Linked DNA regions of Saccharomyces cerevisiae S288C. The protein of the gene in region 2 interacts with the protein of the main gene of each other region in a pairwise test. Each region holds a gene or a part of one and is shown on either strand. Other genes may lie near its edges. The genes, in order: FTH1 and FET5.

Region 1 (4,137 bases), on a different chromosome or scaffold from region 2:
ATAATGGTGTTTATAAAGTCAATATCGAAAAGAGTGTTTTTGATCATCAAGAATACTTGAGATGGATCAACGCAAACAAAGATTCCATCACAGCATTCCAGGAGGGCCAGCTTGGTGAAAGAGCAGAGGAATTTGCCAAATTGATTCAAAATGCAAACTCTGAACTAAAAGAAAGTGTCACAGTCAAACCTGACGAGGAAGAAGACTTCCCAGAAGGTGCAGAAATTGTATATTCTGAGTATTCTGGGCGTTTTTGGAAATCCATAGCATCTGTTGGAGATGTTATTGAAGCAGGTCAAGGGCTACTAATTATTGAAGCCATGAAAGCGGAAATGATTATATCCGCTCCTAAATCGGGTAAGATTATCAAGATTTGCCATGGCAATGGTGATATGGTTGATTCTGGTGACATAGTGGCCGTCATAGAGACATTGGCATGAATTACCTTTTGTTGGCATCTAAAATCAAAGGAGCACTCATTTAGTCTTTATAGCATGCCTTTTTCTAGCTATTTTTAATGACGAATATATATGTACATAGTATTTACTGTAAAATGTATGAAAAGAAGCTTAAAATTATTACGTGTGTTTGTTATGTTCTCAATTTGCTGAACCACTGCTATCAATTATTAGGGGCACAGAACTATCTTTGGACCGTCTTTGACTGTCTGGCTCTGATGTGCTAGAGTTGAGTTCAGAAGTATGATGTTTGAGATCGAGCGATGCCTTGGCAATGCTTAATCTTTTCATAATACGTTTCTTTTGCCAGCTAATAGGTAGATATGGGATATATCCGTATTTTTCTTCTATCATTAGCAGTTTCAAAGCGCATATTAATACCAACCAGTAGGCGTTGTAGCTAATTACAGAGCCGACGGTAGCACTATTCGTCCAACCAAAAATGGCAGTAAAAATCATCCAACCTCCATCTTTTTCACCATTGCAACAATTAACATGCCAAACAGAACGAGATATGTCGTACGAACCGGGTCCATTTCCTACTTCACTCATGTCTTGACCGTTACATTTGTTGACGTAGTCTTGCAATTCAAGTTGCCATACACCTTTGGAAAACAAACCAGCCGCGATCAAGTAGAGGAAGCAGGTGGCGACTACAAGGCATATCTTAAGTGAAAGAGAACTTGAGTACCTGAAGAAAAAAATACCGAACACCGTACTGATTGCAGTAGCAAGGACCATAGAGAGGGGAATCGAGGATAGTGGTTGGTCAATACCGATACCTCCAATGAATACAACAGCTTCTAACCCTTCTCTCAAAGTCGTTATAAATGGTAATATGAAGAAGGAGTACTTTTCACTGAATTTCACACCTTTTTGGGTTTTGTTTCCCAGCAAATTATTGTCCTTTGAATAAATGATAGAAGCTAATTTCACTCTGAACTTCTCTCTTAACTTCCCCATTCTTAAAAAAAACAACCCCATGACAGAAATAATAACGGACGCGACAAGACTTAAGACACCTTCATAATAATGTTCACTCAGTGTCCATAAGTCGGTTCCAATATGATAAAAGATACTAACAAACGCACCCCCGATTAACATACACAGCAACAAACCAAATGCGCCGCCCGCTAGAATTTGTATTTTTAATTTCTGATATAGCTTAACGTTGTCAGCCGTATGTTCATCGGACTCGCGGTCCTGGTCTCTAAGCTCATTAGAGTACTCGTAAATTTCTTCTTCTTCCTCCACATTTAGCGGCCTCGATTTATTATTAGCAGCCGTAGCGGACGTTCCAATAGCATTACCGTCTGAAGGCCCTGCTTGTAAGAAGGCAGTGGTCGAATCTGCGTTTGTGTTCGTATTTGGACTTGGAAGACCAGCAGAAGAGGAACTTCCTTCAAACGGGCTGTCGTCCTCAACAGACAGACCTTGTTTGACGATCGTCAACAGGATAGAAACAATGACAACAATTTCTAAGGATTCCCTTAAGAAAATGAAGAATATCTGGAAAGAAAAATAATCCTCAAACGCCATGGTGACTAGAAATATGAACACCACTCTAGTTCTCTATTCTTAGAGTTTTTTCGCTTTTCTGTAGAGGACAAAAGTTCAGTAAGATGCTTGATTCTTTATAATATCAAGTTTGTGTTTTTGTAGGCTGGTTTAGATACAATTTTGCTTTTCTCTCTTCATCTCCGGCCGCACCGCACCCATTTTTGAACCCAAGAAGGCACTAGAATAAAGTGAGGTGGCTACTACATTGAATTATGTGTATATAGATAGATACATGTTGACGTTTTAGCACCTGTTTTGACGGAGCAGGCGCTATTTGTAGTTTGGTTTTTAAATTCCTGGTGGAAGCTTGTAATTTCCTGCTGAAAAGTACTTTCTAGTACAGAAGTAGTCAGGAGTCCAGGTGACGTCCTTGCTAGGTTCGCAGATACACTTGTTTTGTAGTCTAATCTTCTGTTCGATAGGACAAGAGGTGAAATCTGGATGATGGAATCCAAGACCGTCAAAGAAATGGATTTCTGACTTGTCCAAGAACAAAGAGGCAGCGATGGAGTGCACTGGCGCATCCCCCCATCTTTCGTAGAAGAATCCACCAGAACTGTCTAAGTAATCAAAGTATTCTCTGTATGCATCGGACCTGAAGAAGTCTAAAGAGCCGATTTCGAAGTTGGTCCAGAAATGACACATATTATAAGTGTCACCATCATCATTCGAAATGAATTTCATGAGGTTATTTTTGTGTAAGAATTTAGGATTTTTCTTGATGAATTTCTTTGTCGTTTCCCACAAGGTTGGGATTGTGCGCTCATATTCACTTACCGAAAGAATGAATCCATATTTCTTGTTATTTACTTTTAAAAACTTGAATATGTCATACTGAATATCACAGAATAAAGTGATATCGGTATCCACTCTCCAAAACCATTCGTACTCCTCCAGTAGTGGGTGTCTCCATATGAACCCTGACTGGAAACGGCACATGTGACGGTAAGGCACGGAACTACCATATGGAATATCCAATTTTCCCATTGCAAGCCTTTTCTCATCGAATTTTTCAGTATCGATCCAAGATGGAATGGACCAATGGTCCTTTGGGATTGTCCCATATTTTGCCTTGCCTGAAACCAATGCACTGGTAACACGTTTAAACTCATCACTAAATGGTTGGTCATTCAAGAACACCCAATCGTAGTGATATCTGTTATTGAACCTGTCTTCAACATGTCTAATAGATTTTACCAAGTTCCATAAATCTGAATTCCTGGCCAATGTGACCATAACACCCTTTTCCTTCTTTCCATCGTCCACGGGATGGATTACTCCTTGTGACTTGTCAGTAAACGGCATCAAATAATCCTTACTGGCTACACGACTGACACTGGTGCCCTGAGCTATTGGTACCTCTGGGGACCTTGAGCCACTCATGAAAAATAAAAAGGATAACACTATGATGAGCCCAATGAATGATGATCTGATTCCCTTTTGGTATTTTCTAATCAGCAATGCCGATTTGGGCATTAGCTTCTTTTTGTGGTGCACAGACATAATTGCACGCTGGATATTGATAGTGTTGTTGTCCGCAGACGAGGCCTGACCTTCTTTATGCAAATTTTAACCATCAGTTACGTTGTTTTCTTCGAAAAGTTTCAAGAGGACGCGCCATTCTTTTAACCCGGCAATTTTAAAGGGTTCATTAATAAAGAACTACCAAGATGGTACAGTCGCATTTGGATCGTAACTCAACGTTAGAAGAAAGCCTTAAACCGAGAACTTTTTCTCTTGGTAATGAATATGGCAGAACGTGCAGAAGCAACAAAAAGTTGGTCCTGTGAGCCCCTTTCTGGAAAGACGCTAGAAGAGATTGTTCAAAATGCAGAAAATGCAGCTGATTTGGTAGCTTACATTCGCAAACCAGAGGTAGATTTGGACTTTAGGTTGAAGTTTATCGCAGAACATGAGGAGTTTTTTAATGTACAACTATCGGATCGAAATTCAAGAATAAGGACGTGTCACAACTTGAGCGATAAAGGGATACGGGGTGATACTGTTTTCGTCTTCGTGCCTGGGTTGGCTGGCAACTTAGAACAATTTGAACCCTTACTCGAGCTTGTGGACTCTGATCAAAAGGCATTTTTGACGTTAGATCTGCCCGGCTTTGGTC
Region 2 (4,484 bases):
CTTCTTTTGGACCCCATGGAAGGCTCCCTTCTATGTGATATAATGCTTGGTTGCGAAACTGGCGAAGTTGGCGTAGTTGATCTAGAAACTGGGGATGGCACGTTTGACTTAAACGAAGAGATCATTCCACTGAAGAACGAGGACGTCGAAGAAGTCCTTGATTGATCGTGCTTGATCTCTGTAGGGTGTTCATCGGCGGCACTTTGGTTTGTAATCACTACTAAATTCTTGCGTACGTCGTTGGTCTCTGTATTTAGGGGCACTTCTTGCAGTGACTCAGCTTCAGTATCGCCGGCATTGTCATTGTTACTTGCATGCTCAAAGGGGGGACCCAATTGTTTCACAGAATCAGTACTGTCCTCATTATCTGATACGGGTTCCCAGTTATCTACATCCGACATCACCACTAATCTTTTTGTGTAGTTGCCTTCTTCACCCTTTTCTCAGATAGCGAAATGGTTGAGTGTTTTAATATAATTGTCAAGATGCTTTATGAAAAAGGGTGGGAGAAACAAGTCCCCCTGCTCAGCGATACGCGATCTCTCTGATCTCAGACATAAAGCAAACATTCTATCATGAGTGACATTGAGGATGACGGTAATTGGTAATATCTGACCTTCTGACCTCCACTCAACACAATGCAGAAAGCTATCAAATGTTTTGAACCAAACATGAAAGAGATTCAGAAAGTTGCCAAGCCAACGTGATGTCACAGGTCAAAGTTTAAGTGAAGGCTATTGGAATCTGCGGATCAGACATTCACTACTACACGGATGGCCAGGTCAGCGTAAAGTAACCTGGGAAGCCCATGACTTTGGGCCACGAATCCAACGGTGCTGTTCTTGAAATTGAAGTATCTCAAACTACTGTAAAGCGGGTGATGCAGTAAGCATATAGCCCTCATACCCAAATAGGTTTACCAAAGAGTTTCTGTGAGGCCATTATAGTTTGCAGCTCAACATACCATTTGCTGCATCACTGACCGTGACGGCACCCTTTGTCAAGAGTTCGTGGTTAACGTCGACTGCGTTTACTGATTACCGTTACAGTGAATTTCTAGCAAGAGTCCTCTGTAGATGCCACTATTTGTCGCTCTCCATGTAGTAAGGCCGTCCTAGCTGAAGTGTGGGGAGTAAGCTGTAGTTATAGGTGCTGGAACAATTGATCTGCTGGCGGGTGCGGTACTCAGAGGGTTTGGTGTTCATGAGTACACATGATTCCAAGAAAGAGCAAAATGGACAGTTTATAAACGCTATGAAGAACTGCTATAATCAGAAAAAAAGGAAGCCTGATGGATTCGAGTCCTCAGGTACTCAAAAGAGCGTTGAGAATATGCTAAAATGTGTCAAGAACGGTGGAACAGTTAAGTAGGTTGATATCCACCCCTCGAATGAAAATGTGGGGACCCTCCCAACGAGATTCCTTCAGAGAGATTACATATAAAGTGAAATTCAAGTATGACGATGGTGACTACTCCTTGGCCATTGATTTGATGTCTAGGGATTGTATTAATGTCTATGAGTTGATTACCGATAGGCTACTGGTTGATTTCCTTTCAAAAAAGCTGCTCAAGCTAAGATAGGTAAGGTGTTTATAGAATTTATCGAACTGTATCTAAATATTTTTAATATTCTTGTTTTATTACTTTGTGGCTTTTGTATTCAGTCTGCACCCTGTTTCGCCATCGATTCTTATAATACATACATTTTTATATAAGATCACAGAAAATACGAAGACGTAAAAAAAGAGTTCCGAATGAAAGAAGAAAGAATCAAGCACAGGAAGACAAGAAACGATGTTGTTCTACTCGTTCGTGTGGTCTGTACTGGCCGCTAGTGTTGCTTTGGCAAAGACACATAAGTTAAACTATACCGCTTCTTGGGTAACTGCCAATCCTGATGGATTGCATGAAAAAAGGATGATTGGTTTTAATGGCGAATGGCCACTTCCAGATATCCATGTTGAAAAAGGAGATCGTGTTGAGCTTTATTTGACTAACGGCTTTCAAGACAATACTGCTACTTCTCTACATTTCCATGGTCTTTTCCAGAATACGAGTTTGGGGAACCAGCTTCAAATGGATGGTCCTTCTATGGTGACACAATGTCCCATCGTTCCGGGACAAACATACCTGTACAACTTCACTGTCCCAGAGCAGGTAGGAACGTTCTGGTACCATGCACACATGGGTGCCCAGTACGGTGACGGTATGAGGGGTGCATTTATCATCCACGATCCGGAGGAGCCCTTCGAATATGATCATGAACGAGTCATCACTCTATCGGACCATTATCACGAAAATTATAAAACGGTTACCAAAGAGTTTCTGTCAAGATATAATCCAACCGGTGCTGAACCTATTCCTCAAAATATTCTTTTTAATAATACGATGAATGTAACTTTAGATTTTACACCCGGTGAAACGTATCTCTTCAGGTTCTTGAACGTTGGGCTGTTTGTATCCCAGTATATCATTCTTGAGGATCATGAAATGAGTATAGTAGAGGTGGACGGTGTTTACGTAAAGCCAAACTTTACTGATTCGATATATCTTTCTGCGGGGCAAAGAATGAGTGTGTTGATTAAAGCTAAAGATAAAATGCCTACAAGAAACTACGCTATGATGCAAATAATGGATGAGACGATGCTTGATGTTGTCCCACCTGAGTTACAACTCAACCAAACTATCCAAATGAGGTATGGCCACTCGTTGCCGGAGGCACGCGCATTGAACATTGAAGATTGTGACTTGGACCGCGCCACGAATGACTTTTACCTAGAACCTCTGATTGAGAGAGACCTACTTGCTCACTATGACCACCAAATTGTCATGGATGTAAGAATGGTCAACTTGGGTGATGGTGTGAAGTATGCATTTTTCAATAATATCACTTACGTCACACCAAAGGTGCCTACTTTGACAACGTTGCTTACCTCAGGAAAGCTTGCGTCAGATCCTAGAATTTATGGTGATAATATCAATGCGCAGTTATTGAAACATAATGATATCATAGAGGTTGTTCTAAACAATTATGATTCTGGCAGACATCCATTCCATTTGCACGGTCATAATTTCCAAATAGTCCAAAAGTCGCCAGGGTTCCATGTTGATGAAGCTTATGACGAATCTGAGCAAGATGAAATGACCGTCCCTTATAACGAATCTGCGCCATTACAACCGTTCCCTGAGAGGCCGATGGTGAGAGATACAGTGGTTCTTGAACCTAGTGGACATGTTGTCCTGAGATTTAGAGCTGACAACCCTGGTGTCTGGTATTTCCATTGTCATGTAGATTGGCACTTACAACAAGGTTTGGCTTCGGTCTTTATTGAGGCACCCGTTTTACTTCAGGAAAGGGAAAAGCTTAATGAGAACTATCTGGATATATGCAAAGCCGCTGATATTCCGGTAGTTGGTAATGCTGCAGGTCATTCGAATGATTGGTTTGACTTAAAAGGATTACCAAGACAACCTGAGCCACTACCAAAGGGATTTACTACTGAAGGATATTTGGCATTGATTATTTCAACCATTATCGGTGTCTGGGGCCTATATTCCATTGCTCAGTATGGTATTGGCGAGGTTATCCCTAACGATGAGAAGGTGTACCACACGTTAAGGGAAATCTTGGCTGAAAATGAAATAGAGGTTTCTCGCGGCTAATTAAACAAGAAAATATAAAAGAAAAATGAAAGAAGTTTATATTCATATTGATGATTTGCAATCCTAAAAAAAATGTAGCACTGTAAATACTGCTTACTATTGAGTATTTTCATTTTGTTCATTCCATTCCCTATATAATATTCATACGTAATCAAATCTATTGCTTTTTTTTTCTCTTTTATTTCGTTGTTTTAGCTCTGACGTTGTGACGCTCAGCCAAGAACGTCACAAAAAAAGGATGAAAATCAAAAAACAAAATATTCAATAAGTGTAATATGAGAAGAGAAAAAAGAAAGAACAAGTACAGTTTCTAACATTATACTTTAAAAATTATTAAGCACAATGACAGCAATGAAAGCTATTGTCTGGAGACTTCCCAAGATGCCGAAAATCAAAATTACAAAAACTTATGAAGTTACGAAAATTACGGCGATATTGACACTAGTAGGATTTATAATGGGCCTTGAGGTGCCGTCATTGGCAACTTTTCTCACAAACAAAACGTTTAATGAGTACTTCAAGTATCCAACTCCTTTACAACAAGGTTTACTCATGGGGTCCACCCCCCTGGGTGGTATCATGGGATGTTTTATTTGCTGCATAATGAATGATAGATTCAGTAGAATATATCAATTTCAATCGGGAATAATAATATGGAATATTGTTACGTTATTGAACTTTTGTATTTGGGATATATTAGGTTTACTAATTTGCCGGATGATCAAGGGTATGATCCTTGGGAACTTTTCAATTTTAGTAGCATCCTACGCAAATGAAGTTATCCCCCGCGGCAAGCGTGGAAGTACGATGAGCTATATTC

Evidence for each region.
Region 1: the proteins of FET5 (region 2) and FTH1 interact in binary tests that used the Saccharomyces cerevisiae proteins (3 or more experiments, as listed by UniProt).

What each region holds. Positions count from the first base shown.
Region 1 is NC_001134.8:633,006-637,142, reverse strand, and holds FTH1 (Fth1p), read right to left. Parts: upstream 1,998-4,137; coding exon 600-1,997; downstream 1-599. Other genes in the region: DUR12 (bifunctional urea carboxylase/allophanate hydrolase), read left to right, coding at 1-440; mannosyltransferase KTR3, read right to left, coding at 2,307-3,521; LDH1 (triacylglycerol lipase), read left to right, coding at 3,762-4,137. UniProt on the Saccharomyces cerevisiae protein: High affinity iron transporter probably involved in transport of intravacuolar stores of iron.
Region 2 is NC_001138.5:47,344-51,827, forward strand, and holds FET5 (ferroxidase FET5), read left to right. Parts: upstream 1-1,795; coding exon 1,796-3,664; downstream 3,665-4,484. Other genes in the region: LAM5 (Lam5p), read right to left, coding at 1-401; YFL041W-A (uncharacterized protein), read left to right, coding at 1,391-1,582; YFL040W (uncharacterized protein), read left to right, coding at 4,007-4,484. UniProt on the Saccharomyces cerevisiae protein: Iron transport multicopper oxidase, which is required for Fe(2+) high affinity uptake. May be required to oxidize Fe(2+) and release it from the transporter. Essential component of copper-dependent iron transport.